Arabidopsis thaliana: one gene and its partners. The protein of the gene in region 1 purifies or fractionates together with the protein of each later gene. This does not show direct contact. Each region holds a gene or a part of one and is shown on either strand. Other genes may lie near its edges. The genes, in order: ARC5, DRP3A and DRP3B.

What was found.
Region 2: the proteins of ARC5 (region 1) and DRP3A purify together in Arabidopsis thaliana (affinity purification with western blotting, with the first as the bait; one study listed by BioGRID). This does not show direct contact.
Region 3: the proteins of ARC5 (region 1) and DRP3B purify together in Arabidopsis thaliana (affinity purification with western blotting, with the first as the bait; one study listed by BioGRID). This does not show direct contact.

What each region holds. Positions count from the first base shown.
Region 1 is NC_003074.8:6,848,073-6,858,670, forward strand, and holds ARC5 (P-loop containing nucleoside triphosphate hydrolases superfamily protein), read right to left. Parts: upstream 7,519-10,598; 5' UTR 7,318-7,518; coding exon 6,955-7,317; intron 6,794-6,954; coding exon 6,626-6,793; intron 6,531-6,625; coding exon 6,408-6,530; intron 6,332-6,407; coding exon 6,110-6,331; intron 6,034-6,109; coding exon 5,900-6,033; intron 5,809-5,899; coding exon 5,716-5,808; coding exon of another isoform or gene 5,701-5,715; intron 5,602-5,700; coding exon 5,538-5,601; intron 5,151-5,537; coding exon 5,102-5,150; coding exon of another isoform or gene 5,009-5,101; intron 4,819-5,008; coding exon 4,736-4,818; intron 4,503-4,735; coding exon 4,345-4,502; intron 4,201-4,344; coding exon 4,140-4,200; intron 3,829-4,139; coding exon 3,766-3,828; intron 3,679-3,765; coding exon 3,578-3,678; intron 3,474-3,577; coding exon 3,416-3,473; intron 3,310-3,415; coding exon 2,977-3,309; intron 2,881-2,976; coding exon 2,716-2,880; intron 2,615-2,715; coding exon 2,519-2,614; 3' UTR 2,286-2,518; downstream 1-2,285. Other genes in the region: BCAT4 (branched-chain aminotransferase4), read right to left, coding at 1-74, 261-392, 493-669, 1,040-1,217, 1,326-1,357; AT3G19740 (P-loop containing nucleoside triphosphate hydrolases superfamily protein), read right to left, coding at 7,872-7,979, 8,082-8,153, 8,248-8,307, 8,392-8,530, 8,610-8,794, 8,920-9,003, 9,231-9,353, 9,455-9,631 and 4 more. UniProt on the Arabidopsis thaliana protein: Mechanochemical GTPase component of both plastid and peroxisome division machinery. Required for the last steps of plastid division specifically in mesophyll-cell, when the narrow isthmus breaks, facilitating the separation of the daughter plastids.
Region 2 is NC_003075.7:16,157,209-16,167,789, forward strand, and holds DRP3A (dynamin-related protein 3A), read left to right. Parts: upstream 1-3,615; 5' UTR 3,616-3,864; coding exon 3,865-4,278; intron 4,279-4,363; coding exon 4,364-4,646; intron 4,647-4,738; coding exon 4,739-4,767; intron 4,768-4,862; coding exon 4,863-4,964; intron 4,965-5,263; coding exon 5,264-5,332; intron 5,333-5,419; coding exon 5,420-5,479; intron 5,480-5,768; coding exon 5,769-5,882; intron 5,883-6,269; coding exon 6,270-6,318; intron 6,319-6,416; coding exon 6,417-6,526; intron 6,527-6,826; coding exon 6,827-6,919; intron 6,920-7,058; coding exon 7,059-7,151; intron 7,152-7,219; coding exon 7,220-7,357; intron 7,358-7,549; coding exon 7,550-7,663; intron 7,664-7,751; coding exon 7,752-7,850; intron 7,851-7,992; coding exon 7,993-8,032; intron 8,033-8,210; coding exon 8,211-8,359; intron 8,360-8,447; coding exon 8,448-8,594; intron 8,595-8,818; coding exon 8,819-8,871; intron 8,872-8,955; coding exon 8,956-9,055; intron 9,056-9,205; and 3 more. Other genes in the region: EX1 (UvrB/UvrC domain protein (DUF3506)), read left to right, coding at 1-505, 586-709, 961-1,130, 1,415-1,489, 1,596-1,688, 1,794-1,886; AT4G33640 (costars family protein), read right to left, coding at 2,519-2,725, 2,923-3,201; AT4G33660 (cysteine-rich TM module stress tolerance protein), read right to left, coding at 10,262-10,334, 10,457-10,581. UniProt on the Arabidopsis thaliana protein: Involved in the control of mitochondrial and peroxisomal division and morphology. In association with PEX11C, PEX11D, PEX11E and FIS1B, is involved in cell cycle-associated constitutive self-replication of preexisting peroxisomes.
Region 3 is NC_003071.7:5,952,654-5,963,259, reverse strand, and holds DRP3B (dynamin related protein), read left to right. Parts: upstream 1-3,151; 5' UTR 3,152-3,244; coding exon 3,245-3,613; intron 3,614-3,703; coding exon 3,704-3,986; intron 3,987-4,082; coding exon 4,083-4,111; intron 4,112-4,205; coding exon 4,206-4,307; intron 4,308-4,603; coding exon 4,604-4,672; intron 4,673-4,767; coding exon 4,768-4,827; intron 4,828-5,219; coding exon 5,220-5,333; intron 5,334-5,700; coding exon 5,701-5,749; intron 5,750-5,851; coding exon 5,852-5,961; intron 5,962-6,270; coding exon 6,271-6,360; intron 6,361-6,592; coding exon of another isoform or gene 6,593-6,595; coding exon 6,596-6,685; intron 6,686-6,823; coding exon 6,824-6,916; intron 6,917-6,999; coding exon 7,000-7,137; intron 7,138-7,344; coding exon 7,345-7,458; intron 7,459-7,552; coding exon 7,553-7,648; coding exon of another isoform or gene 7,649-7,652; intron 7,653-7,798; coding exon 7,799-7,841; intron 7,842-8,044; coding exon 8,045-8,187; intron 8,188-8,276; coding exon 8,277-8,423; intron 8,424-8,556; and 8 more. Other genes in the region: AT2G14110 (Haloacid dehalogenase-like hydrolase (HAD) superfamily protein), read right to left, coding at 10,258-10,431, 10,534-10,606. UniProt on the Arabidopsis thaliana protein: Involved in the control of mitochondrial and peroxisomal division and morphology.

The DNA of each region.
Region 1 (10,598 bases):
TTCACACCACCAGTTCCACTAGGAAAAGCTCGACGAAACTGATCTTCGATTTTCAGATTCAAACCAGAGTTATCCTATTCCAAACAAAAATCCGAAAATAATCAAATTTAACATAATGGTTTTCGTTAAACAACATAACCCTTTAATTTAAAACCAACTCTCAACAAGTAATTGATGCATGCATGTTATATTACGTACTTGGAATCCCTTATATTTTCATATGTGAACAATAAAAGAAAAACGACAAGAACACTAGTCACCTTATGATAACGTCCAACAGGACAGGCAAAAGCTGTGAAGGTGGTCTCAGGAATGGGAAATGAACCAAGAATCGGACCACTCCCAAACAAGATAGGCCTAATATACAATGTTCCTTTCCCCGGAGGAGGAATCTGCGTACATATATAAGAAAACCCCATTGATTATATCTTTCATTTTATAAGGTTTTATTATCTTGACGAATTCATACAACAATCAATATATATAATATACCCATTTCTTGTTGGCAAGAGCAACTTGTTTGATGGCGGAGACGAATTGATCGACCGAAGGATAAGGCATATAGAGTCTGTCAGCTCCGGCTTGAAGGCGGAGACCGTTTTGGTCTGGTCGGAATAGCAGAATCCGACCATCTTCTGTCCTGTAAGCTTTCAGTCCTTCATATAAACCCTAATCATTCCCAAACCACCATAAATATTCCAGTAAATTAGTATCAAACCATTACTTAAGAATTGTTGCGAAACTAGATCACATACAATGATTTGATAGGAATATCAATACTTTCATACTATTCGGTTCGTTGATATACATTAATACATATATGTACAACTATTTCATTTTTTCAATAGTTTATAGCTCAAATATGCATACAATATAGTTGCTAACTCAATAGTATACTATGTAATTATATTTATGATAATTAGCTCAATCATTTTATTATCAGTGAGAAAGCTATATATTCATGTGTTAATAGTTTTTTCTGTTTCATCTAATAACGATCTAGATTTATATTCATTCTTTTAAGTCATATATAACAAACCTGGCCATACTGAAGAACAGCAGCGCAAGGGTTAAGTTGCAAATCAGCAAAAGGAAGAATCTTCCCCTCTTGAAAACTCTCTCCATGATTGCACTTCGCAACATACATATAATCCGTACGAACAAACTTGAATGCCAACTCTTCCCACTTGACATTCGCATATTTTTCATCCGAAACACTGTAAATTTTGATAAATAAAAAAAAACAAAAAAAAGATCGCCAAATCATATTTCATACTATCAGATTTAAACAATATAATTTGTTCGACGATACAGAAATATTTTACCTCACAGGAAGAGGTTGCGCAGAAGGAGCCATGGATGTGTTTGTTCGAGTCGAGTTGCTTTGTTGTAAGTAGGTAATTGCAAGAAACTTGAGTTGTCTATAAAGCTTTGGAATACTTCTCTTTATATATACGTTTACAACAATTTTTTTTTTTTTTTTTTTTCTATTTTTACAACAAATTGTTTTTTATTATAATAATAAACTTAAACGAAAATAAATAATATCTCTTTGTTCTATTTCTTAAAAAAGAAATTAGCTTGTAGTACTTCAACGTATCTTAACTCTTTAGTCTTTAGTAGGTATATATCATCTATTTATTTATTTTTATTTTTTTTATATTACGATTATAGTGTACGTACGTATTTATTAATCAAAAATAACTTGGTAGAAGTAAAAAGAAAATGATTTTTTTTTTACTCAGTGATCAGTTTTACGTTTATTCAAAAATAAGTTGTAGTTTCCTTCTTAATATTCAAGTTATATGACTAAAAATTGGTCGGTTAATTTACTATTAAGATTAATCGGAAACTCTAGTTAGATCACGAGATAATCATCACGTGGAGAAACATTTGGTTCTTGTCACGTGGAGAAAACGTTAAGCTTATTTTTTACTTCTTTATTATATTTTTGAGGAAATGGTTGAAAGAAAGAGAGTGTTTAAAATGTGAATGCGCTCGTAGTTAGGTGGAGGTTAATGGGTAGGAGGGTAGGTCATATGTGTATTAGTGATGGATAAAAATTAAAAACATAAAAAAAACTTCAAGCTGTAAATAATCTAATAAAAGAACATAGAAATATAATCAAAGAACCATTTAACTAAATAAATACTTTCGATTCAAATAGCATATTTCTAAGTTCCAAGAATAGCTATCCTCTATCCACATGTTACATTTTTTTTTTCTTTTTCACATCCATATAGTTTTTAAAATAATTTTCTAGATGGTATTTTTTATTCGACATTTTTTTTTCCTTTTAGATTTACTGATTATAATTTATTTAGAAATAAATGATACGACTGTCGTTTCTACAAAACTGAAATTTGCAAACATTGGACCAAAAAGCGAAACCTTAATCACTTGAAACGACAACGTTCTTTAGTATGTTTTTGGACATACAAAGTACACATAAGATGTTCCCTCACTCTTCGATTGTTTCTTAACCTAATATAATTAAGCAATATTGAACTTGAGTCACTCAATGCTGCACCGAAGGAGCCTTTAGATTTTGAGCAAATTCATGAGAGTTTAGCTTCTCATTCATCACTCTGAATTTCTCTTTTATCCTCTTTATCTGTCCAAAACATGACACATAACATAATGTTAGTTCTCCTGCATACTTCCAATGGCAAATAGAAAAAAGAGACATTGATCATAGAAGTCAGTTTGGTTTACCCTTCTGAGCTCGATCTCTGTGCTCCGTTTCTTTTGATCAAGTGATTGCCGGAGATTCGTGATGTCGAAGATACTATCGAGGTCGTCTTCAAATGCGTTTTCCAACTCTTCCCGGAGAAGAGCAGGTAACTTATCAACGATGGGCATTAGAAGAAAACAGTTGAACTGCAGAACAAAAGAAAACACAGATACAAACTTTTTAAAAGAAAAGTCATTTTAAAAGCAAGAAGAATCTGAGTAAAAACTGAAGTAGGAGCAAACCTTTAACTCAGCAGAGGCGAGAAAGTACTCTCGTATGCCCTGGAATATCTGTTGGACCAATGCGTACACAATTCTCTCAGAGGAAGGAGCAAGCTTGCGGTTCCAAAGTGTGCTATCTAGAAGATCAGCCAACCGCATTTCTGTTGTCTGAATACTGGAACCTGAATCGATGTTTGAGGCGAGATGGCTTAGCTTTACATCTGATCTTGACTTGGTGTCTGTTGTGCCACCTAATGCATCTTGGGGAAGACTAAATCCTATGGCATTACCTGATGTCGTATTATGCTCTGTTCCACCAAATGAGTCCAAGAATTGACGTAGACCAGCTCGGTTCTACATAACATTGAGAAACGAAAACTACTCAATCAGAAACGGATACTTGATGGTATGTACACAACTCAATTGGATTGAAACAGAGCTATAGGGCTGTAGCAATGACCTTGTTGTGAAGAGACCATGTAACATAGCGAGTTGTACTTGCTAAATCCTCCATACATCTGCAAACAATATAAAATCCAAAGGGTGATCAATCACTAAAGCTCACTAGAACACAGGTAGGAGGCACCGACATGGTAAGAACAGGAATTGGAAATAGAATTACTTGTCACGACATGATTTTTCTGTGGACTCCACAAAACTGTTGAATGCTGAAGCAACCCGCTTGAGAAACACCTCATGCCCACTTAAATATTCACCTTCTTTCTATTCAAATTTAGAACATACATCAAAAAATTTGCTGGAAAGGGATCATGAGTATGATACCGTCAAACCAAAGAAAACAGTACCTACCTGAAGAAGATATACAGAAATTGGAAGCAATCTCTTGAGAATGTGTAGAAGCCTCGCCCCTAACTATATCAACGCAAAACAAACGAAAATGAGAACTGGAAAAAACTTTCTGTATGGAAAGAGAAACATGTGAATAACAAAATTTCAGATGAAAGTATTCCCAAACATAGTTTCTGTAAGCAGAACATGTTTACTCGATAACTCTTATGCACAAATAAGTTCCAGCAAATCTCAAAACTGAATGGTAGTATGATTTCAATATATAACGTTATATTTCATTTTTTTTTTTACGTACAGTACACCTTAACTAATTAGTAAAATTGCTTTCCATCCTCCACGAAAGAAAAAGAAAAAAGTAGCTATATCTATGTCACCTGATGAAGGAAAGGTTCAAACGTCTCACGAGCCTTCGCAACTGCTATAACACAAGCTGTTCTACAACAGCAAATAAGAGAAAGAGAATAAGAGGCCATAGAAAACATGACAAACGTTGCAGCTCAGATTAGATACTGAAAGGGGTCTGGGATGCAAAGACAATAAATTGAGAAGTGTGTTGCATGTCAGTCAATCCTATGATACCTGGAATAGTTTGTTCCATCATGAATATCCTCAACTCCACATGCATTTACAATTTCCTCCCTCGTTATTGGGGGACATTTGATAGCACCAACTAGAAAACGAAACTCAGCCATGGCACGGTGATATTGTGCACCCCCATAGAGACGCATCCCTGCATTCTGTAAAATGAAAGATAATCTGGTTATGGTCTCTCATAATTCTTGAAGGTCCAACGAAGTATCTCTTTTATTTGTTTCCAATACATTATTCTTTGGCACATATGTTTCATGCGGTCAAATTTATCTTCCATCATATTATAATCCATGTACAAGAACAAGACAACTGGATTTGAAGACCATGCCCAGCTTGCTCTATAAAGTCCAACAATATTCTGCTTCAGGGAAAGACTTACCGGTATTAGCTTATGTGAAAACTGGAGACCATCAGTACCAACAAATGCTCCTCCTTGTGTCCTTTCATCTTGCAGTGTCTCACCTGAAAAACACCATGAGAAATTATTAACAATCAAAGAACCCAACATAAAGAGAATGCTGTTATAAAATGTGCTTCTGCCAGTAACCAAAGTATCATGACCAATGATTGATTGATTAGCATACATCATTCCATGTGTAATCATCGCAGTCTGGTGACCCAGTCGAATTGAACAATATGCATTTAACTAAACTGATTTTGCAAAAGTCCAATTTAACAACACCCAGAAACAAGAAAAGTTTATGCCAAAGAAGTTGACTAGCAGAGAACAGAGCAGTAACATTACCAAATTTATCTGGAGGGGCCACAACTGTTCCCTTCAATAACAGCGATAACTGATCAAGAAAAATATAAACAAAACAGGTGAGAAAACACAGCACTGATCAATACTAACAAAGGTACTTCGTACGTCAATCAGAAAATATGACGCAGCAATTTTAAAGTCTTAAGGGCATCCAACACAAAAAGTTTACAGCCATTCTGAATTTGTAGCAAGTCCTAGATATCATTTACTGTAGCATAATTTTATATGTGTCAGTAATCAATAAACAAATTTGTTTTTATGTGTCAGTAGTTAATAAACCAAAAAAAAAGAGAAGTTTACACAAATGAACTTGTTGTAATTATACAAAAACTATTAATCCACGAGTCCAGGCAAAAATGAAAAGGTATGGGAAGGTGTAAATAGAAATCTAAAAAAACGAAATGCTCTCTACAGTTACCTTGGTTAAGAAGAGATCATGGAAAGTCCTGCCTCTCTCTTTGAGTTTTGCTTCATCCAAAGAGCTGCATTGAAAGGAATTATTCAACCTCCAATGAGTTATATTTTCTATAAATCAGTAGCTAACAATTAAACTGCCTAAAATCAAGTAGACATTTTCAGACAAAACAAATTGCGACCTAAGTTCCTTGCTCACGGTATCCAGCTTTCTGACTGTACTGCGGTACTCCTTTCCTAACAGTGGAATGATCAATGGAACACTCTCTTTGTACCTGGAAAGAGAAGGGCATCAAGACTACAGCGAAAAGTAAACTACAATAGAAACAGAGGCTGGAAAAATCAGAGTTAAAACAACAGTTATACCTTTTCCAGAGTAGTTCTTCCAGAAACAACCTCAGTTTACTGATGCCAATCCTACTCTTTTCCTGTTTTGTCAGTAAACGGCCCAACTTCTTCTCTAAAGATGCAATGTCTTCCATTTCTCTAAGTGACACAGCCTGTAATAAAAACCACACATAGTTTAGAAAAAGACCTGTTTAACTTGTTTAAGGAATCAGACAGCAGAGCAGAGACCTGTTTGAACTCGTCATTAGACTTATACACTGAATCCTGTCCATAGCCAACTCTTCCAGAAGGCACAGACGTGAAAAAAGGAGAATCGCCCAATAAGGAGCTGTCAAGTGCGCTTGCAGGAGGTGAGAGAAAGACTTCCACGTCAGATGAACATGAGAATTGAGGGATTTTAGTGTCAAGCTTTGTAGAAACAACAATTGTCCTAGAAAGCTCAGGATCAACCTACATGAACGAGAAACAAACTTTAACAAAAATAAAGACAAGGTTAGACGCAATGGAGTTACGTCAAGCAACGTACTTGCATCACTATCCTTCGAGTGGTTGCAATGCTCCAGTCACTGCTATCTTCGAGGCATAAAATGATGAACTCTTTGTGTTGCATCTTTGCTCGGACTAGAGCTTCCACAGCCCGTGCTTGAACCTAAGAAAAAGAACAAGTAACCCACTCTCAAATAAAGCAAAACCAAAACATGAAATCAGCCACGGAATTGGCTGGAAGCCATAAGAAAAAACAACCTGAAGAGCTCGGTTTTTCAGTCCTGGTGCAGGAGCAATAAGTCCAGGTGTATCAATGATGGTAAGGTTTGGACAATACTTATACTGGACTTTCACAATAATCTCCTTTGCAGAGAATGGGCTACATGGCTCTTGCTCCAGCCTCATGTTCTCAGCCTCAATATATGCCTAACTCCAAATCATATAACAAATTTCGTTAACATGAGCATTTCGCTTCTCTACAATAAACCTAAGTACTTGTGTTTCTCAACATTCGTCAAAATCTTCCCAGAATTTATACGCAGAAACAAGCAATTGAAGAAGCACAAGTAATAATAATAACAAAACACCTGAATTTGTGAGAGAGATTTGGGAAGAGAAACGGAAGGATCATCATCAGATCCGAGATGACAAAGCGGGAATTGACACTGAGGATCGTACTTCATATGGAGAGTAATCGGCCGACGAGTCTTGGTTCCGCCGCCGACATGGTTAAATTGAAACCCCATAAGAGCTTCCACAAGCGCACTTTTACCGTCGGTCTGCTGTCCCACCACAAGAACCGCCGGTGCTTCGAACGGCGTCTCCAATTCCTGCGCCAAAGCGTGTAACTCGTTGTAAGCTTCGTAAAGACTCCACCGCTCCTCAATCGCAGCGTCGTCCTCTTCCGCCATTTCCTCAACCGTCACCGATTTTGCTGATACTTCCGCCATCGTCTCTTACGAAAATGAGCAAGAGGAAGAGTAAGAGTAAGAGAGTGTCTCTTATTTCTTCTACTCTTTAGTTTTCGTCGCCGTTCCTTTTTCCGCCATGGAATTAGCAGATACGGCTAATTTCAATTTTTGTCAAAAGAAATATTTTTTGTGTTTTAATCTCACGCGCATCCATGGCGCGTTGAGTCAACGTTGTAATAGTTCTCCGCTAAATTTAAATAAAAGAGCGCGTAAGGAGAGAGTTTAAGGATTTTTTTTTTTTGGTCGGCAAATACAAAGGATTTGCTTTGTCTTGACCAATAGTATATGCAGAAATATTATCTCAAAGGATTTGTGATAACTATGTAGTACAGAATTGTGATTATTGGATGAGAAACCAGAAATATTTTGAGCAAATGACGACTTGTTAATTTACTATTTTTTCATTTCTTAAAGGTCTCTCTTGTGTAACTATGATTAAAATTGAAATAGTGACTTTTATTGTTACGACATGGAACAAATCAACGAGTTCTATTGTTAAAGAGAGACATTGATGAATGTAACAAAACTGTGGCTTAGAAGCCGAAAGGAGACTTAGTTCGGGTCCCTCCTTCACCGTATTGCTCGTTCCATTTTCTCAATTCGTTCATTGTCGTCGCGTCGTATGCCACTGACGGACTTACCTGCAAATTACATTACAATGACGCAATTTCGATAATGCAAACACCAGGGGAAAAAACATGAATAGAGATGATGATGATGTTTTTTAAGAGATTGATCAATACCTTAGCTTTGGATTGAATGAAGTCGTCCAAACTCAGTGGTCGTAGATCAGGGGACGCATTTGTTACCGAGTCCTGATAATTCGACGTTTCAAAAGCATGGAGTGAGTACAAAAATTATTTTTCGTAACAACAGAAATCAACTGTGTGGGTTTATGCATGTCCTTACCTTGTTTTCTTCTTGTAACAATTCTTGAACAGGTCTGTATGCAGCTGCTATGCATAGATTCTGCAATGTAAGAAAAGAAAAGGAATCAGAACTACTGTGTTGAATCATACTCGAACTTGTAAATGAAACCCCGAATGACCAAACCTTTAGATCGCTTCCTGAATATCCTTCGGTTTCCTTTGCAAGTTTATCAAACTCGAAACCAGTTTCAAGATTTTCTGGTGTCAGAAATATCTTCAATATCTTCAACCGGTTTTCCGCATCTGGTAAATCCACATATATCCTATAAACACAAGCCTCAATACAATTATCGAAAAGATACAAATATTCCAAAGGAGAAATTACTTGAAAGCTTAAATTACCGTCTTGGTAGCCTACGAATGACAGCGTCATCAAGATCAAAAGGTCGGTTGGTGGCACCGAGAATGAGAATCCTTTGGCTATCTTTTGATCTGAGTCCATCCCAAGCTGCCATAAACTCATTTCTCATTCTTCGTGTTGCCTCGTGCTCAAAAGCACCACCACGAGCACCCAACAAACTGTCAACCTATACGACAACAAAATAAATTACAGTTAGTCCTTGAGTAACACATTTTACGCATCACAAAAGTATTCCTCATAAAAAGCAATAACCGAAATTGAAAAGTGATATAAAGCTAAACAATTTCTCACCTCATCAACAAATATAATGACGGGGGCTAGTTTGCTTGCAAAAGAGAACAAAGCCTTCGTGAGCTTCTCTGCATCTCCAAACCACTGTGCCAAACAATGGACGAAATTGACTTAAATCAGAACCAATCAGAGGTAAAGTTGGAAAGAGATTTACTCTAAGTTACAATCGGCATTGACAATAATAAGTCGATGACCGGGGTGGAAAAGTTTTTCTTATGTCATTAGATATTCTCCTTATTTATATGAAGATGTTTACAAAGTGGAATATCAACGTGACAGTGCAAACAACATAGTTTTAAGGTTCCATGTACCTTTGAGGTAAGCGTTGAGCCAGTTATGCTAATGAAGTTTGCCCCAGCTTCTGTTGCAAGCGCCTTGGCAAGCAGCGTTTTACCCGTACCCGGAGGACCAAAAAGCAATATGCCTTTACATGGCTGGAAAAAACAAAGACACACGCATTCAAGAAAACCCAGACGAGAAAATTCCAAGTCCATAGTCAAGAACATAATGACATGTATATAACAGAATGTAATACCCGCAAGAGATTTCCACGGGTGAAAAGCTCTGGCCTTCTCATGGGAAGAATAACTAACTCATTTAGTGTCTTTTTCACATGTTCAAGAGCACCAATGTCGTCAAACTTTACCCCAATTTCTCCAGGAGCAACCACGGCTGAGACAAAATTGGTTTCAAACTCATCCTTCGCAATATTCTGCAAAAACAAAAATCTCTTTTTAACATAATTATTACTCAGAGTTTTCAGCAGCCAATTGCCAGACTACCAGAGGGGGGAAGAAACTAAACCTTCAAGTTTTGTGTGGGCTTTCGAGAAATATCTTCTTGTGCCTTTAACCTTTTAACTGAAATCTCAATGCTTCAAAAGAGGAAGACAATAGTAAGATATAAGAAAATCAAAGATAAATCATAGACCCCAAAGATCAATCAACAACCATGCCATTACCTTTCACGGGGGAGAATCAGGCGGCCCTCTTTAATCGATGGGCTAGGACAAGAAGATAAATAGTGGTTTCTGGCCCAACCGATAACTTTCTCCGCTCCTGCAGAAACAAAATAAACAAGTTTCTGAGCTCTCTTGGTCACAATATAAGTAATTGGGGTTTCATCACAGAAAGCAAGAACTAAAATTAAATGATTAATCATATAGGAGATGACCGATATCAAGGTCAATCACATGGAACTGCATCCTATTTCATGTAATACTAGCAACAAATGAGATACATAACATACAGTTAAGGCATGCTTGATATCCTCAATCAGCAACTTTAACATACTTAACAATGCTAAGACATAACGAGTAATAACATACATAATAAACCAGGTATTTCATAGGAGTTACACACTTTGCTTTGTCAATATCACGCCATCGGTGTTCACTTGGTACAAGTCAGTGCACAATAACTCGTTTTCCTCAAGCGCCTGGGTTAAAAGTTCTCAAAGTGTTACAATGGTTATGATAACATCGCAAATTGACTCCATTTCTCTAACGGAATTCAGTCTATGTCTATGTACCTTAAGTAGCTCATTTAAATTGCTCCGTGACATCACAATTCTTCTATCTTCTCCAAGTTGTTTGTTGAATACTATGAGGTTCTCTTCTTCCTGCACAAAATTAGAAAAGAAGAATACAGGTACAACATTGATAAGCAAGAAGTGCTGAA
Region 2 (10,581 bases), on another chromosome or scaffold:
CGGGGTCAAGGTTAAGGTTATGAAAGTAACTGCGCCTGGAAGGGTGGATAAGGATTTCATCTCAAAAGTTATTGAGCAGATAGCTGATGAAGAAGATGAAGAGAACGATCTTGATATAGAAGATATAGATGTGGAAGATGACACTAAGGCTGAAATCGATGAAAAAAATGCTGACATTGAATTGGAATCTGTGACGGATGAAATCATTGACAACAACGGAGGAAGGGAAATCGCAGTGAAATTTGTGATAGGCGATATTGTTGATCGACTTTCTGGAAACCAACCTCTTAAAGAGTCACTTCGATCCCCTGCCAATCTGGAATCTGTGGAGAATTCTTCGTTTTATCTTCGGTTAGAGAAAGATTTAAACGTTAAAGAGTCTAAGGGTGTAGAAGGTACTACACTAGTTGATGGGAAAGGTAGCCGCCAGAGTAGACGTAGGATTGAAAACATTATGGGTGATTTGGCCAAATCAATTGAGAAAGAGAAGAAGATTTCTGTCAAGGTTTGTTTTGCTGTGTTTATTTTCTTCTTGTTTTACTGCAGAAAAGGAGTCGCAGCTTAATCTAGAAATTCACGTTGCAGATGCTTAAGGATGTTGGGGAGCTATTAAGCCTCACTCTCAGCCAGGCTCAAAACCGTCAACAGCTGTCGGGTTTGACAAAATTTCGTCGCATTGATGTGACACCATCACTAGATCCCCTAGACGGTGAGTGAGTAATTGATTGAATGTGGAGGTTGTTTTGTTTCTCTCGAAAGAACATAGAAATTGACATTGATGGCTCCTAAGCTATTGTAAATTTATCAGTATTGATTTCTCAGCTGTTAGAAGTTAATTTGTTGGGTATGACAAGTGAGTCGTCTCGATAGAATACTTTAAATTTTGTAACCCTTACCTGAAATACAAATTTTCTCACAGTATGAATTGGATTTTAATTATCTTTGTACTTATCTATCCAGGACTTTATATTGGCGCACATGGGCTATATACATCAGAAGTAATCCATTTAAAACGCAAATTTGGCCAGTGGAAAGGTGGAAAGGAGTCTAAGAAGCCAACAGATATCGAATTTTATGAATATGTTGAAGCTGTGAAATTAACTGGAGATCCGTATGTGCCTGCTGGGAAGGTTAGCTTTATGTTTGTTCTAGTATGAGGTATTAAGACAAATATGAAAACTTGTTGTTTTCATGGTCAGTGTCAAAAATTTGCGTACTCAAACGACTGTGTTACCAATCTAGTTAAAAAAAACGCTGTTACTTTTCTGCCTACACAGGAAAGGAGTATTATCATGCAATAGTCACTTGGATCTATAAATGCACACTCGCTTATTTTCGATATCTTTCTTCTTCCCTAATACTCTTTTGTTGCAATATCATGATGAGTGCCTTACCACAGTCTTATCCATGACAGGTTGCATTTCGGGCAAAGATTGGTAGACGTTATGAGCTCCCACATAAAGGACTCATCCCCGAAGAATTTGGAGTGGTGTGCTTACCTTACAACACTAATTCAAGTTTATCATTAAGCTCGGTTTTCGTTTAGAGTTGTTGTTTGTGTCGCTTCATAGTAGAGTTATTCTTACAAAATGCAGATTGCCAGATATAAAGGACAAGGTAGGCTTGCTGATCCTGGATTTCGTAATCCGAGATGGGTAGATGGCGAGCTTGTTATCCTCGATGGCAAGGTTCCTCTCTTCGTCTCTCAATATACTAAAACAAACTTGTCCATGGATTCAAACTCAAATAAATGACATGTTTTGTGTGATTGTTGAATTATGGTTTTAATGCAGTATGTAAAAGGAGGACCTGTAGTTGGATTCGTCTATTGGGCACCTGAATATCACTTTGTGATGTTCTTCAACCGCCTGAGGCTTCAAGCCTAGTTGTATTCTGCTCTACAATCGAGGAAGGGTTTTCTTCTGGCTGTAACCATTGTGTACGTATACTCCTAGATACACAGTAGATATGAAGTCGGTACTGAGAAAGGTATAACTGAAATGGTTTAATTATATGCAGATTCATGAGATCGGTTGTGCCTAAGATAAGATTACTTCAAGTTCAGGTCTTTCTGGACCAGTATAGAGATCCACGGTCTCGCTTTTTCTTCTGGAGCTTGGATAAAGGTACCTAAATTGGGGGAAGATTTAACACGCCAGAGAGTCTTTGATCAGAAAGGAAACTTAGATTGTAAAGCTTGACAAGTTTATAGATATATATATATATATATATATATATATATGTAAATTAATGTATGTTTCTCTGAGATTGCTGCTATATTGGGTAGAAACGTGGTAAGAGCTGTTGTTGTATTTCCTTTGTGTATTTTCAGTTTATATGGCAGAAAAAGAGAAGAAATCTTTCTTGTTAATAGTGACTTTGTTACTACATGCAACAACTTAAAAATATAGCTCAAGCAATGTGATCATGACAATAGAGAAGCAAAGGAATCATTGATCTTCAAGTTTATCATTTCATTACACTCAATAGTATAAAGATTAAAAGCAGAAATGGGAACTTAGGAGGAGGCTGCAGTAGCAGCAGCAGCTTGCGGTGGCGGTGGTGTTGGTCGGAGAGTGATCTCAACCTTATCGTGAACGCCTTGAAGCAAAAGTTCACCTTCAAATGCGACTATTTTGCGTTTCTTGGCAGCTCTCAGAGTCCCAACCAATGCTTCAAAGATGTTGGCACATCGATCGTCATTGAACAACACTCCAAACGTCACCTGTATTCAAAAGGAACAAATCAATCCTCATGATCAAGAATCAATCAACTGTGTTTGTTAGATCTGAGCGAGAGAAAAGAGTAAATGTTACGATCTTGATTCTTCAGATAAGAGTATTTGTTGATTGAAAATGAAATAATACAGATTTATTCCAGATATAGGGAGATCCAACAAGATTTGAGGAGAAAGAGAGAGACCTTGTAAGAGCCATCGGTCTGACGAGAACCAAGACGATGGATCTCTTCTTCCAGTTTCTGAATCTCTTCGTCTACGTTCATTCTTTCTTCTTCCTTAGAGATTTCAGGTCTCAACAGCCTAATGTTGTAAAAAGATTGGATTGAAGAAGAGACTCTTTCTGTTTCTGACGAAGACAGCTCGATGGACTCATTCTTGTCCCTCCTAATCCGGTTGAAAAGACCAAAATGCGCACACTTAACCGGTTTGAAAACCTTATCGTACCGATTTTTCTTCAACATTGAAAATTAACACACACCTCCGGTTTGAGACCTTAATAAATGATACGACATCAGCCGGTTTACCACGATTTTAACATTCGATTTTTCTCTATTTTTTTTTTCTTTTAGTTTATCCATACAAAAAATTACTGATGAAATAGCAAAAGATTGCGTTTAAGTTAACAACGAATATTTAAAGACAGAACAGAACTTCAGTTCCTCACTAAAACTGTATCTATAGATTTTTTCTAAACTTATTTGATTAATAAAAGCACAGGCTAATATTAGAAAGAAAAAAAGTTTTTATAAATTAAAAACTAATGTAATTAGGTAAATGAAAATGTTTATTCGCTTCTTTTGGACCATGGAGATTAAGGTGAAATTATTTAGTTGTTATCATTATAAATTAACAAAGGTTAAGTGAATATAAAATTAATTTGAATTATTTTGTTAAGTTGTGATTAAAGTTCAATTTCTTCTTCACGTTTTTAAAATTCTTGAGCAAGTAAAAATTATTTAGCGACTCTAATAAAAAGATCCTCCTCTCTTCGATAGAGATAGAGCTAAGCACGAAAATCCCGAGTAATTGACCTTCTCTTCTTCCCAGTGTTGTCTTCTCTTCTCCACGAACTTAATTTTTTCAAAACCCTAGCAACTTTGATTCATTCAAAATCCGATCCAACGATGACTATTGAAGAAGTTTCCGGTGAGACTCCTCCGTCTACGCCTCCTTCTTCTTCTACGCCTTCTCCGTCTTCCTCCACCACCAACGCCGCGCCGTTGGGATCCTCTGTGATTCCGATTGTAAACAAGCTACAAGACATATTCGCTCAGCTCGGAAGCCAGTCTACGATCGCGCTTCCTCAGGTTGTTGTTGTTGGAAGCCAAAGCAGTGGCAAGTCTAGCGTCCTTGAAGCACTCGTCGGCCGTGACTTTCTCCCTCGTGGTAATGATATCTGCACGCGTCGTCCTCTTGTTCTCCAGCTCCTCCAGACTAAAAGCCGCGCTAATGGCGGATCCGATGATGAGTGGGGGGAGTTTCGTCACCTTCCTGAAACTCGTTTCTATGATTTCTCTGAGATTCGTCGAGAAATTGAGGTTTTTTATTCCCTTCCTTGCTTTATTTGATACTCTATTGCTCTTCCAAGTTTGTATTAATGTATGAAATGCAACATCTTTGTAGGCTGAGACGAATAGATTAGTTGGAGAGAACAAAGGTGTAGCAGATACACAGATTCGTCTTAAAATTTCTTCACCTAATGTATTGAACATCACGCTTGTGGATCTGCCTGGTATTACCAAGGTGCCAGTTGGTGACCAGCCATCCGACATTGAAGCACGTATAAGAACGATGATCTTGTCTTACATCAAGCAAGATACTTGCTTGATATTGGCTGTTACCCCTGCTAATACCGATCTAGCAAACTCTGATGCCCTTCAAATTGCTAGCATTGTAGATCCTGATGGTAAGTTCTACTCACAAGTCCAATGACTAGTTTAATGGGTTGTATTTGACATTACTCATCTTCACCCTTTCATCTATCTATACTGTCTCCAGGTCACAGAACGATAGGTGTAATCACAAAGGTGCATATTCCCAGTCCAGACATTTGTTTTATTTCATCACCATAGGCGTCCCTGTCTTTCATGTGATTTACTATATGTTATTATCATGTTTTCAGTTGGATATTATGGACAAAGGTACTGATGCTCGAAAACTCCTTCTTGGAAATGTTGTTCCTCTTCGACTTGGATACGTGGGAGTTGTAAATCGTTGCCAGGAGGTAAACCTGTGGTTGCTCACAACTATTGCTTTTTAATTTATTTAGTGTGGCTCTTCTTTTATGTGACTTGAGCTTTATTGCTTCTGTTCTGTACTTATTTTTCTTATGATTCTCTTGCTATCATATAGTAGGCTGTCTCTTCTTTTTTTTTTTTTTTTTTATTATTCTACCTTTGGCTGTGCTTGTTTTTTAATTCTAATTTTATCACTTCGATGCTATTGTGACAGAATTTTTATTTTTTGTCTACTTTTTGTGGCGTCTGCATCTACAGTGTTTTGATCTTTATATTTTATAAACAGGATATTTTGCTAAACCGCACAGTCAAGGAAGCACTTCTCGCAGAGGAGAAGTTCTTCCGGAGTCACCCGGTATGCTAACATCATTTTGTTGATTCACTTTCTGATACTCTTGCTATTTTTTCTGATTAAAGCTGAGTCTTTTTGGTACCTATACAGGTTTACCATGGTCTTGCCGATCGTTTGGGTGTTCCTCAGCTAGCAAAGAAGTTAAATCAGGTATTTTCTGCAGTTATGGGAATTGGGAGTTCCTTTTTTCGTTATGTCAATCATTGTTCAGTAAGGCATAAGGGAGACGCTTTCTCTATGTTGAAATATCTAATATGGGATTATGGTGGAGTTTAAATGCATTATTCACTTTTTAAGGTTACTTACATGGCTGTGCGGATTCTACCCTAGCTTATTTTTTTGGCCTTGCATGTATATCTTTTTTTGTTTACAGACTTTAAGATACTTTAATATTAGAAAATGTCTGATAGAAGATGGCCTTTCTGTTGCATTTTTTTAGATCCTTGTTCAACATATCAAGGTCTTGCTTCCGGATTTGAAGTCGCGGATAAGTAATGCTTTGGTTGCTACAGCAAAAGAGCATCAGAGCTATGGTGAATTAACAGAATCAAGGGTATGTATTTTACTGCTCAATTTGCCATCTATTTATCGAATTCATTGTTTTGTTATTGGCTTTGGTACATTGCCATTTGTTCCATTTAATGGTGTGATTTGCTCAGTCTTTTCATTTGAATACAATTTTGCTCGTCCAGACTATTTTCTCATGTATGTGCTCAGGGTTCGTAAAGCCTTTTTGTTTTTAGACTACAAAAAAAATATCTTTAAGTCGTAGAATTAGCATTTAAAGGTGTTCTTATTTGTAGGGAAAGGTTGTTGGCCAATGGGTACTTCTTTTTTAACTTTTTTTTGCTTCATCTCTATGAGTTGTTTTTCTTTTTCAATTTTTAACTAGTCAAACTTATCTTATTCTATTGGTCTTTACTGTCCTTGAAATTCTTAGGCTGGGCAAGGAGCTCTTCTCCTCAACTTTCTCTCCAAATACTGTGAAGGTAATATGTGAAGACGATATTTCAGTTGAGACCATTGACATTTGTTTTATGTTTTCTATGGTTCATAGTGAGTCTCATGGGTAAATTTTTTTGAACAGCATACTCTTCATTGCTGGAAGGGAAAAGTGAAGAAATGTCTACGTCAGAGCTCTCTGGAGGAGCAAGAATTCACTATATTTTCCAGTCAATCTTTGTTAAGAGTTTGGAGGTTCGTTTGGGCAATCGTTAAACTTTTTTCCTTGAGCTTGAACAGTTGTTATACATTCCCGTTTCTTAACCTCGCCAATACTTTTGCGTACTTTCGGATGGTACACTGATGTTTACGGTTCATTTCATTGACATTGATAGAGAACTTTTACACTGCTTTGTTAAGCATTGGCTCCTCTATCTTATCTTAGTTTAGCTAGTGACATTATCCAAATGGAAATAATGTAGTATATTTCTGACGTTGAGCTCGTGGATCTCTGTAAATTTAGACTGATTGAATTCCTTCACATTGCCTCTTCAGGAGGTTGATCCATGCGAGGACTTGACAGATGATGATATTCGGACTGCAATTCAGAATGCAACTGGTCCAAGATCTGCATTATTTGTTCCAGATGTAGGTTTCTTAACATGTTTCAGCATATATGGAAGTTATCCTGGTTGTCAGGGCTTTCAAGCATTCATATGTTTCCTTGCCTTTTCCACTTCCCAGGATATCTAATTAGAGTCCCTTGATCTCGTTCAATTATGCATAGGTTCCATTTGAAGTTCTTGTTAGGAGGCAGATATCTCGTTTGTTAGATCCTAGCCTTCAGTGTGCCCGGTTCATTTTTGAAGAGCTAATAAAGGTGAGTGTTTTTTTGGTTTGTTGTTAATAAGTAATAAGATTACTTCATAAATTTGAATTTCTCTACAGATTAGCCATAGATGTATGATGAATGAGTTACAACGATTTCCAGTCCTACGAAAGCGCATGGATGAGGTTATCGGGGATTTCCTGCGAGAAGGTCTTGAACCCTCAGAAGCAATGATCGGGGATATCATTGATATGGAGGTCTGTATAATGAATTGAAAATCCTACGTTGAGTTGAGTTTCTCTATTGTGTATAAAGAGCCCAGACTAATATGTTGGTTGATTAGGGACCTTTTTTAATCTTGAGCAGTGATTTCCTCGTTTTTGATTGATTAGTTTCTTTGAACTAAAGTATTAGTGATGGTATCATAATTTCTTGAATGTCGTTTGCAGATGGATTACATAAACACTTCACATCCAAATTTTATTGGTGGAACCAAGGCCGTGGAAGCTGCAATGCATCAAGTGAAGTCTTCGAGGATTCCCCATCCTGTGGCACGACCAAAGGTATGAAGTACTCTGAGCAAATACATTAAAATTGGTTTTGGTTTCATATATACTCTGCAGTGTTTCTTATACATTTAAGTTGATATAGCAGGACACTGTGGAGCCTGATAGAACATCTTCTTCCACGAGTCAAGTGAAATCTAGATCGTTTCTCGGCAGGCAAGCTAATGGAATTGTTACTGATCAGGTATTGTCATTTTACATGTTATATATAATTAATTCTGTATATCATTGTGCACTATGGGTTTAGCCCTAAGGACCCATGAGCAAATTAGACATTTTCAAGATAAAGAGTGACTATTTGACACTTAACTCATGATTGTTCATAGGGAGTTGTATCTGCAGATGCTGAAAAAGCTCAACCTGCTGGTAATTTTCTCACCGCTGTCATTTTTAGCCTTCCATTTCGTGTTTTGGAAGATTTTTGGCTGTGTGATGAATCTCTTGCTATGTTTCAGAGACTGCGTAAACATGTATCTTGTCTCGATTCGCTAATAGCTTATAATCCTGAGTAGATTTTAATTGTGGTTTTGCTGACACATGATAGCAAATGCGAGTGATACAAGGTGGGGTATCCCTTCAATTTTCCGAGGGGGTGATACTAGAGCAGTTACTAAAGATAGCTTATTAAACAAACCATTCAGTGAAGCTGTTGAGGATATGTCTCACAACTTATCCATGATCTATCTAAAGGAGGTGTGTCTCCTGTGCCATCTTAGATGATTCATATTGCCAATACATGCTTACCTATTTGACTCATACTGTTTGCTTTGCTTTTCTGAAGCCCCCAGCTGTCTTGAGGCCAACCGAAACCCATTCAGAACAGGAAGCAGTTGAGATTCAGATAACAAAGCTGTTACTAAGATCATACTATGACATTGTAAGGAAGAATATTGAGGACTCGGTACCAAAAGCAATCATGCATTTCCTGGCAAGTACCCTCATCCCTTTCCCCAAGTTTCTTGCAGTATCTCAAACTTGTACGATATATCATCACCTTGATATTTGATTGCCCTTTGAAATTGTCTTTTGAGAGAGTTAAAATGAAAAGCCGTTTGTCCATCTTGTGTGTAATAATCTTGTTGCTATCTTACAGTAAATAAACTCTGAAGAATGAAGATGCTGATACCATTTCTTTTCTTTTTAATGCTTCAGGTAAACCACACAAAACGTGAGCTGCATAACGTCTTCATCAAGAAGCTTTACAGGTGATGCCTGTGTTTTTTAATTCCTCACATCTGTGTTTGGATTAGTAGTCTCTTAAAACTGACTAGTAGTTTCATCTGGTGCAGGGAGAACTTGTTTGAAGAAATGTTGCAAGAGCCAGATGAGATAGCAGTTAAGAGGAAACGCACACAAGAGACTCTCCACGTTCTTCAGCAAGCTTACAGGGTATGTTCTCAGCAAAACCTAACTCTGTACATCAATCGTCATAAACCTTGTTCCGTTGAACAATAAAGTCTTCTTTTCACTTAAAACTGTTTCTATGAAGAATTTATGTTTGATATTCATGTAACCATGTGGTCTTTGTGGGTGAAACAGACACTAGATGAGTTGCCACTGGAAGCAGATTCGGTGTCAGCAGGAATGTCAAAACATCAGGAGTTACTGACATCTTCAAAGTATTCGACAAGCAGCTCATACTCGGCATCTCCAAGTACGACAAGAAGATCGAGAAGAGCAGGAGATCAACACCAAAATGGATACGGATTCTAACATGATCCAAATATCTCGAATATCTCTCGACTGTGATAACGCATTTCATTCATTTAATGGCTCTTTCAGGTTTTGGTATTAAATTATGTGTTGGTCATATGAAGAATTTATATAGGAAACCAGTACACAGTGTGGGTTTTGGTCCTTTTGGACTCTGCATTGGTTGACTTGATAAGGGAGTGAAAGGTGATATAGTTTTTTTTTCCAATTTGTTTCAAATGCTCCCCCTGCAACAATAACGGGAAGCAAACACCTTTCACTCTAAATTTTTTTTTGGGGAATGTTTAATCAATAAGTTATATTACATGATCGGTCCACACGACCTTATAAATTGTGTAGTTTCTTCGTTTTTTGAGCAACGAGACGTGGAACATTCCCCTATACGAGTCACAGATTATGCTGGAAATTGACGATATGGTTAAGAGTTAGTTATGGACAGCGGTATTCACAAATTCCAAACCCACCTCAGTACTTTCTGTATAGATGCGGACCAAAATCCGATTTGTTGTCTAGTCCCTATCACTGGCTAAGAGCCAAGACACGATAATGTTTACTCTTCGGTTAAGAAGTGGACACGTCATTCTCCATTTTTTCCGTATTCGGATAAAATGCATATCTACCTACTGCCACGTATCTGTATCCAACATTTCTATCACACGCATTTTCATTTTCAGCATAATCTATAACTACTAATCAGAAATCAGAATAAATTCTCTTATTACTTGATGAGCTGCAGAAATTTGTGATACATATATAAAAGGCAAGACTAAAACCTAATTAAAGCGACAAGAAAAGAAAGTAGTAGTCACATGATATCACAACAATTATTGTATAAACCTCATAAGCATAATGAAATTAACAGACATACTTTTTCCTGAAAACTTAATCAAAGCATATAATGGTCGGGTCACAGCAACATTCATCCACCAAGCAGCAACAACACAGAGCTGCTAATCTGCAAACCAAAAACACACATTACCACCGACAAACATTGAAGTTCATTTATAAATTCCAACAGATCACTCCTTAATAATAGAAACAAACTAATATTATGAAACATAAAAACAGAGCACTTACAGTCCTTCAAGAAAACCAACTTTTCGTGGTGGTGGTGGAGGAGGAGGCGGTGGCGGTGGTGGAGGATAATACTGTGGCGGTACTCCCACCGGCGGTGGCGGACCTTGCGGGTAATTTCCCGGTGC
Region 3 (10,606 bases), on another chromosome or scaffold:
CATCATCACCCGGATAGCTCCCATTCTGTGTGTTTGGCTCTCGGATTGAATCTTCAAATGATTCGTTGTCATTCTGCAACAAAATAAAAACAATAAGTCAATCATTAATATAATTAGTAGACCTTTAAAATAGCTTGTAAAGATTTTCAATTACCTCTGCTTTTCTTTCTAGTCCTCCTTCTTCTTCAGCCTGCGAAAAAAAAGAGTACATTGTAAAGGTTTACTACGTATTTAACCTTTAAAATACATTGTAAAACATTTCCTTTCAAATAGCTTTTAAAGAACATTTACAATTACCTCTGGTTGTCTTTCTACTCCTTCATCTTCTTGTTTTCTTTCTTCATCTTCCTCAGATCTCTGATTATTCTTTTCCTCCATTCTAATGTCCAAAATCCTCTCAATCATCTCGACTCTCTTGTTAAGATCTTCAAGGATTGTCAAAATCCTGTCAAGCTTCTCGCTATCAGATATTTTGTTATTGATTTTGTTTTGACCTACTTCTTCAAGGGCAGCACAAACATCAACGCATCTTGTATTCCATTCAGTTTTCTTCAATCTGTAGCCCATATTAACAAGTCCCAAAATATGTTGGAATTCTATGTCGTCTGTGTGGAAATCAGGAACTAAAGACTTGAATTCTTCTGGGTTTCCAATAATTGTATTCACCTCCATCTGCGAAGATACAATAACATTACAAATCTTGAGAAAGCAGAACTTCAAATCTAAAAACCATTTAAAGAATTCTGTAAATAGACAAAAGCTTACCTCAGAAACATCATTTACAAGGTTTACGATCTTGAAAAACTCTGGAGTAGTAGTGCTTTTCCACTTCAATATCAATGGATATTCAGATTGGAATTCTTTATCTTTAACTCCATATGCTGCACCAAATGCTGGAACTGCGCTCAACACCCATATTGTTAGCGCTAGTCCAAATCCTCTCAAATCATATTTCTCTTTTGCCCAAGTTTTCTCGTCCATTCTCAGAATTGAATTTGATAGAACACTGAATGCTTCTTTACCCCACGGTTGGGCTGTGTACATCTCAAAATCAGAAGCATGCTGCAATCTTGGCAAAGGTATCTTCTCTTTTCCATATGGTGTCAAAAGAATTCCTTCAGTCAACACTACTGCAGCAAGACACAACTTTTCTTCATCTTCAACAGCAGGTTCACCTTCCTTAGGTTTTAAAAACAATCGATCTTCGAGATCACCAAGAGTATAGGATCCTTTACTAGCCCAAAAGTATGGTTCTTTTACAGGATCTTTTCCCTTTCGTCGAAGTTCCCTATGAACAGGTTCACATTGAATTCCTGTATGAACAAAAGACAGTGTAGAGACTATTATTACAGGTTTTATAGTAAATACTTTAAAAACGATTGTAAATCATGTTTAACACTTTTAAAAGCTTTTAAAAGCTTTTAAAATCCCTTATAAATCATTCAATGCCACTTACTTATGCTTTAAAAACGATTGTAAACCATGCAGACACTTTTAAAATCCCTTGTAAATCATTATATGACACTTACTTATGCTTTAAAAACGATTGTAAATCATGTTTAACCCTTCTAAAAGCTTTTAAAATTCCTTGTAAATCATTCTATTCAACTTACTTATGCTTAAAAAACGATTGCTAATCATGTTTAACCCTTAGAAAAGGTTTTAAAATCCCTTGTAAATATTCTATGCCACTTACTTATGTTTTAAAATCGATTGTAAACTATGCAAACACTTCTAAAATCCCTTGTAAATCGTTTTAAGACACTTACTTATGCTTTTAAAATCCCTTGTAAACGTGTTTAACACTTCTTTAAGCTTTTAAAATCCCTTGTAAATTATTCTATGCTAGTTACTTATGCCTAAAAACGGTTGTAAACCATGCATACCCTTTTTAAAATCCCTTGTAAATCATTATATGCTACTAACTTATGCTTCTTAAACGATTGTTAATGAAGTAAACCCCTTTTAAAAGCTTTTAAAATCCCTTGTAAATTATCTATGACACTTACTTATGTTTTAAAAACGATTGTAAACTACGCAAACAGTTATGCAAATGCCTTGTAAATCATTCTACGACAGTTAATTAAGCTTTAAAAACGATTGTAAAACTTTATTACCTGTTGTGAGATAGAACTCTCTCAAGGAGAAACGGATAGGTTGAGAATCAACTCTAAACCAAAGAGTTGATCCTTTTGTTTTCACTCTCTGCTGCATGAGATAGTGAAAGATTTTTCCAGAAAATCTGATTCCCTTCTTAGCCTTCATTTTTGGTCCCAATTCAACTAGAGGACCAAGAAACGAACTTCTAATCTTCTGAAATAAATACTCGCCTAAAGCTTCCTCTACTTTACTAACTAAATTCCAATCCGAGTATTGTTGAACGGTTCCCAGTGTAATAGATTCCTCACCTTCTCTGTAGATTTGTTCAGGCAATGCAAGGATTTCACTCTCTGAATCCATCTGCAAAACATGTTATGAAACAGCGTCAGATCTACTATAAAATCGACTATAAAATCGACTATAAAATCGATTATAAAAACGGTTACCGTCGGATCTATCGATATCTCTGGGGATTGTTTGCGTCGTAGAGAAATGATCTGAATCCTTCAGCGAAGAACATGTTTATCGGAGAGGAAATTCGTCGGCGATTTTGGGGTTTCTCAGAGAGAAAATTCGTCGGCGATTGTGAGTGAAATCGGAGAGGAAATTCGTTGGCGATTTTGAGTGAAATCGGAGAGGAAATTCGTCGGCGATTTTGAGTGAAATCGGAGAGAAAATTCGCCGGCGATTTTGAGTGAAATCGGAGAGGAAAACGAAGAAGTTTGTGCCAAAACGAAGAAGTTTGTGAAACGAACGTGAAACCTAATCATTCAGAGGGTAAGACAGTCATTTGCCATATTAAAAGGGGCAGTTTTTAAAATGGCCTTCAGGAAAGGACATTTTTACAAAAGGTTATTAGAATAAGGATAGTTTTGCAAATCTCCCATCTCCCTTAAAAAAATAGTGCAATCTACATCTCAAATAAGATGATATATTATCCTTTAAAAAATAACATAAAATTACATAATTTCTCAAAAAGAAATAACTCCGAAAATTACACAAATATTTAGAGATATTATTAACTCTGATTTACTTTAATCGGCGCGTGATCGAGAAAGATCTTCTTTAACCTCTTTGCAACAAATCTACTCAAAACCCTAACCCCTTTTTCAAATTACTTCCATCTTTAGATCGAATCAAATCAATGTCCGTCGACGATCTCCCTCCGTCGTCGGCCTCCGCCGTAACGCCACTAGGCTCCTCCGTGATTCCGATTGTGAACAAGCTCCAAGACATATTCGCTCAGCTAGGAAGTCAATCGACGATCGCTCTTCCGCAAGTAGCTGTCGTCGGAAGTCAAAGCAGTGGCAAATCCAGCGTTCTAGAAGCTCTCGTCGGCCGTGACTTTCTTCCTCGTGGCAATGATATTTGCACGCGCCGACCTCTCCGTCTCCAGCTTGTTCAGACGAAACCTAGCTCTGATGGTGGATCCGATGAAGAGTGGGGCGAGTTTCTTCACCACGATCCTGTTAGACGTATCTACGATTTCTCTGAGATTCGCCGTGAGATTGAGGTTTGTTTATTCATTCTCTTCTTCTAAGTTCGTCATAGAATCTATTGATGATGATCGTCTAATTGTATGAATATGACAATTTGTTTGTAGGCGGAGACTAATAGAGTATCAGGAGAGAACAAAGGTGTATCAGATATTCCGATTGGTTTGAAGATATTTTCACCTAATGTTTTGGATATTAGTCTTGTGGATCTTCCTGGTATCACTAAGGTTCCTGTTGGTGATCAGCCAAGTGATATCGAAGCGCGTATAAGAACGATGATCTTGACTTACATTAAGGAACCTAGTTGCTTGATACTTGCTGTTAGCCCTGCTAATACTGATTTAGCAAATTCAGATGCATTACAAATCGCAGGAAATGCTGATCCTGATGGTGAGTCTTTGGAAGCAAGTCGATTGAGAATTTATCAGTTTCATTGGTATACTACATAGTGACATTTCGTTTTGCATATGAATTTGTTGTTCTCAGGTCATAGAACCATAGGTGTAATCACAAAGGTGCTATTTCTCTCCTCATAAGTTTGCTTTAGATTTAGCTGTGATGGCAAACTACTCTATTTCTCACGATTGCTCTATTTTCTCTCTGATTCAGTTGGATATTATGGACAGAGGTACTGATGCTCGGAATCACCTTCTGGGAAAAACAATTCCTCTTCGACTTGGATACGTGGGAGTTGTAAATCGTAGTCAAGAGGTAAACCCTGTTTTTCAAAAAATTTACGCATGTTTACTTATGATGTATATTGTTCTTGTCCTACCATTATGAGCTGTGACCACTTCTACTTTTGTGCTTGTGTGTCTTATTTCTTGCTATCACAATTTGTATCTCTATGACTCTTCTTTTCCCTTTGGATACTACCTGTAATATAGACCTTTTTTTTAGTGTTACCAAACCATTCTACTCTATATTCATTTTTCGTTTGCTCTTACTATGTGGCCACTGCCCTCTACGCAAGGCAATAACTAATGTGGGTGTTAATTCCTTAACAGGATATTTTGATGAACCGTAGCATCAAGGATGCTCTTGTTGCAGAGGAAAAGTTCTTTCGTAGTCGTCCAGTAAGACTGCATCATTCTCTCGATTTGTTTTCTGATAGCGTTTCCTTGACTCTTCTGCTTATATCTTCTGTTTTGGTTTGTTTTCTAATAAACAGGTTTACAGCGGTCTCACAGATCGTTTGGGTGTCCCTCAACTGGCAAAGAAATTAAATCAGGTATTATCTGCAGTCTTGAGATCGTCTAATTTCTTTGTTATGATTATCTTGTTATGCAGTCAAGACACGAGTGTCATAAGGAATACACTTTCTGGATTTTCCGATGTGTCTCTAATTGAGACAATAAATTGGCTTTTGTATGTAACATTCATGTTTCTTATTTCATTTAGCAGGAGGAGCTAGGATCTTTGTAGGACATTAGTGTGTATATATTTGAAAAACTCAGCGACATCTTCTCACTATTGTTGTTGATTCATATGGTGGATTCTTTTTCTGTGAATGGAGTAGTCCTTTTTCTAAAGATGGCATCTCATAAGTTTCATAGCTGGTAATATTATTACTAAAATTATGAGCTGTCTGATGGGAGCTAGTTCTTTTTCCCTTCTTTGCAGGTCCTTGTTCAACACATCAAGGCACTGCTTCCTAGTTTAAAGTCACGTATCAACAATGCATTGTTTGCTACAGCAAAGGAGTATGAGAGCTATGGGGATATAACAGAGTCTAGGGTATGTGGGTTTTGGCCAGTTTTAGCCTTATATATACCATCCATTCTCAATGATGGCATTGCTATTTGCTTTTTTTGCGTTGTATGATTTCTTGCTCAGTTTTCGTATTTGAATATAATTTTATTCATTTTTGTGATCCTCTTCTTGATATTCTTGGGAGCCTTTTCTGATTACTTTCAGTTAAACAAACTATCGGTAATTTATAGAGTTAGTGTTTGAAGATGTCAAGATATGTAGGGAAATATTTCTGACAAATTTTTTCTAAATATCTAGATATGCTCTTTCATTTCCGTATAAAATATGCCTACAACATGTGACTATTTAACTTACAGCTTACTCTGGTTTATAACTGTTTCGAAATTCATAGGGTGGTCAAGGAGCTCTTCTCCTCAGTTTTATTACAAAATACTGCGAAGGTAATATCTGAAGATGGTTCTGTTTCAGTTTAGACAATGGATGTTAGTTTATACTTTTTAGGTTGGTATTGGTCCTCACCATGGCTTAATTATTTATAACAGCATACTCCTCTACCCTGGAAGGGAAAAGTAAAGAAATGTCAACATCTGAGCTCTCGGGTGGAGCAAGAATTCTCTACATTTTCCAATCAGTATTTGTTAAGAGCTTAGAGGTTTGCTACATTTATAATTTTCCTTGATCTTCACTCAGTTATAACTGCCTTTTATTTTGTTTTTCCAAGTTTTGCATTACGTTATATCTTAGTTAGGTAATACTTTCATAATTTAATTTGGGATATCATTTGTGGTCTTCAATGGAGGTTCATTGTGTTGCTATTGATATAGAACCTATACACCTATGTGTTCTTCAATGGAGGAGATTCATTTTGTTGCTATTGATATAAAACCTATACTCGTATGAATGACTTTCTATTTATAAGATATTATTTGATTCGCTAAGCATTAGGCTATATCTTAGTTAGGTAATCACTGTGTGTAGATATCTTTGTTTAGTTAGTGGGGCTATTTGCACGGAAGGCAGACAGTTCGTTTCAGGTTTTCAGTTCTTGGAAGTGTGGCATGTTTGCAGTTCTTGTATGAGTAGAACTATGCTCAGTTGTAAATATAGTCAGTGTTTATATTAGTTCATATCCGTCCATCTTTCAAGCATCTGATCTGTATTACTCAAAATCGATCTGAATATTCTCTGTTGTATAGAGATCTTTACCTACTGATGTTGTCAGTGCTACTTGATAGGGGTTTAATGATTTTAAACTCATTAGTTTCTCTCAATTTGCTCTGAAGGAGGTTGATCCATGTGAAGACTTAACAGCTGATGATATTCGGACTGCAATACAAAATGCAACTGGTCCCAGATCTGCATTATTTGTTCCAGATGTAGGTTTATCTATATCCCTAAGCATGTGGGAGCATTTTTTTGCTTATCTGTTCTTTCCACATACTTATTTTGCTTGAGTTTTTTACTTTTACAGCAACTCTGATTAGTATCTCTTGCTTTCATTCTCATCTGCATAGGTTCCATTTGAAGTTCTTGTCAGGAGGCAAATATCTCGTTTATTAGATCCCAGCCTTCAGTGCGCTAGGTTCATCTTCGATGAGCTAGTAAAGGTGTTATTTTTATTTGCGTTTCTTTATGATGCTAACTGTTGATTTACATGACCATGAATTTTAAATTGAAAAATTATGTACAGATTAGTCATCAGTGTATGATGAAAGAGTTACAGCGGTTTCCAGTCCTGCAAAAGCGCATGGATGAGGTTATTGGGAACTTTCTGCGAGAAGGTCTTGAACCTTCGCAGGCAATGATCCGAGATCTTATTGAAATGGAGGTATGTATGGATAATTTAAGATCCACACAATCATGAATCTAATGGCCAGTATTATTAAATTTACTTAGATTGCGTACTGATTTTTTTTTTTGTCACACTGGTGGAGTAGGACCATGTTCTAAGTTCAAGAAAATTGATTACTCTCAATTTTATTGATTAGTGCCTCTTTTAAATTTAGTTTAAAATATTTAAGTTTACCATTTGCAGATGGATTATATAAACACCTCACACCCAAATTTTATCGGGGGAACTAAAGCCGTGGAGCAAGCAATGCAAACAGTCAAATCTTCTAGGATTCCGCATCCTGTTGCGCGGCCAAGGGTATGGAATAGTCTCAGCGAAATTAATATTTGCTTTATGTTTCTCTTTGCGAGTTGTGAAATTTTTCGTACATGTTCCCTTTGATGACAACTAGGATACTGTGGAGCCTGAGAGGACGGCTTCTTCCGGGAGTCAAATAAAAACCCGATCTTTTCTCGGCCGACAAGCTAATGGAATCATCACTGATCAGGCATGTCATGCGTTATGTTATGTATTTGACTCTGTTACATTGATCTCCTTACTATATTTGTAGTTGGCCCTGCTTCTGAAAGCCCATGAAGCGAGTACAGATATGCAGCTAGAGACTTCTTATAATATAATTACTTAACATTTTTTACAGGCAGTTCCAACTGCAGCAGATGCTGAAAGACCTGCACCAGCTGGTAATGGTCTTATCACATTTATTTTTCAGTCTTTCATGTATGCACAGATAAATGAACGTGTGGTTTTAAGATGATTTTGGACTGAAATGATAAAATTCTTTGTCTAAGATACGACTTACATATAAGCATACATGTCTGCTCTTAATTCAATGTTCTGTTTAGAATATGAATGTAGTATTCTTGACCGATTGTGAATTAATCAGGAAGCACAAGCTGGAGTGGTTTCTCATCAATTTTTCGGGGGAGTGATGGTCAGGCAGCTGCTAAAAACAACCTATTAAACAAACCATTCAGCGAAACTACTCAAGAAGTGTATCAGAACTTGTCAACAATCTATTTAAAGGAGGTTTGAATCTTGTGCCTTCTCAGGCTTTTCATATTGCCCAATACTGTCACTTTACTTACCTATTCATCTCATAATGTTTTGTTTTGAAGCCTCCAACTATTTTGAAGTCATCTGAAACTCATTCAGAACAGGAGTCAGTTGAGATTGAGATAACAAAGCTATTATTGAAATCCTACTATGACATTGTAAGGAAGAATGTCGAGGACTTGGTCCCAAAAGCAATCATGCATTTTCTGGTTAGTGTTCCACTCTTCTAGTCTTCTGATTGTCTAGCCAAACATCTTATGGTCATTGATGACACTTAGTGTGGGTCGATTCTTTGTGAGGGGACTAATAACTCTATTCCATATAATTGTGAATAAAACACAGGTAAATTACACGAAACGTGAGCTGCACAATGTTTTCATCGAGAAGCTTTACAGGTGATGAAAGAAACCATGTGCTTCCCATTTGATTTTGTGAATAGTCTTTTTTTTTATATGAACTAAATCTGGTGGATGGGACAGGGAGAACTTAATTGAAGAACTGTTGAAAGAGCCCGATGAGTTAGCGATAAAGAGGAAACGCACGCAAGAGACTCTTCGCATTCTTCAGCAGGCTAATCGGGTAAGTTGAAGGTTTATCTTGAAGAAATTGCAATTTAACTTGTTAAAATGTGTCTTTTTGATATGGTTTAAAACAGACGTTAGACGAGCTGCCGTTAGAAGCTGAATCGGTCGAGAGAGGTTACAAAATTGGTTCAGAAGCGAAACATGAGGAGTTACCGGGCACAAGAAGATCAAGGACAGAAACTAATGGGAACGGACGGCTTCATATGTAAATTCAAATTGTGATTGCACGCATGACTCATTCATTTGGTGATGGAAAAGATTTGTTTTCTTCCCTTTAAATCGGTTGTGCGTGGGGAAAGAAAGGTGTTCTTAGGTATAGTGAAACGTGATGATAAACAGAGGTTTTGTTGTGAGGGTATTATCAACCTACTGGAAAATGTGACTTAATATTTGTTTCTCAAAACCGAGAAGAATAATCAATTCCTAATTTTACTTTTCATAGCTTTATTTGTTACGAAAAACAAGAACGTACATGAGACAATGTAATGATAAATTTATCACTGGTAAGTTGATCTTGTTCTTAATGCAAGGGTTTAAGACTCCAAGAAGAACTTCCTCTTCGATTCTCCAACAAAATCTTTCATCGAGACATCTCAAAAATGAACTTAGAGGCATCACCGTTAGAACCTAAAAACTAAAATGTCCATCACTCCAATTAACCTTGGCAAAAGAAAAGTGCCAGTTCCAATTTCTTCATCCTCAAACCAAAGGCACAAAGAAACACATCAAACCAGTACCGCAAGTCGATCTTCAAAAATAAAATCCGGTAAGCATAAAGATCGAAATCAGTCCCTTATACAAGAGAGGCTAATGAATAACAATCTCAGATCAAAAGAAAGAGGTAAAAAAAATTCAAAGCAAAGCAAACCAAAGCAAATTGAAACAAAAGAGACAAGGAAGAAGAAAAATATGGACCAAACACCATCGGAGAGAAGTGGAATCATCGGAGATAGAGCCGGACAATCTCGAAACCGAGAATACGGAAGCAGAGCCAGTCATAGGTGCTAATCGAAGCCACCTATGCCAGAAATAGAGCTGGCCAAAGGTGCTAATCGGAGCCACCTATGCCGGAAGAAAGCTAGTCATCACCGCAAAAGATACGGACAATGCTAGACACAAAGCCAACCAACCAACGATGAAAGAGCCGATGGATGTCGAAAATAAACCGGATTTCTACCGGACGGCAGAACATCAAACGGTTTCTCTCTCTCAAATATGCGAGAGAGAGAAGAGAGAGAAAAACCAATTTGAAGTGTGTTTGTTAACAAAAAAAAAATAGAAGTCAATCCAATGTTTTCTGCATTTTCTCGAGAAGAGCATGTTTTTAGTCTAGATTAATCTTTCTTGTTCAATACAAATCTTAACATATCCGAGTAAATTACTTGTAGTTAAAAATGGTGATACAACACTCGAGAATGTTTTGTGTCCACCAATGGATCATAACTCTCACAAATGAATGTTAATCTTTGTCTGTCTCCGATGATGTAGGCTTTCCAGAATACTTGTCACGCCAAACCTGTTTATTCTTCTCGATACTATTATGATTTTGAGTAAATTCAGTAAGCCCTTGTCTAAATGCTCCAAGCGTAACCCCATCACCAACAAGGATGCTTGTCACTCCCATTTTCGAAACCTGTTTAATTGATCACACATAAAAGATTCAATCTTAGTGCACAAAGTAAAGAAATTAATCCACACTATGCAATGTACGCTCAAGTAGTAGTTTGTGTTTAACTGATTTAATGTTTCGGTCTTCATCATCGAAGAAGAGCATCGCGGTAAACGGCACTCCCGTTCTTGTGTGTATC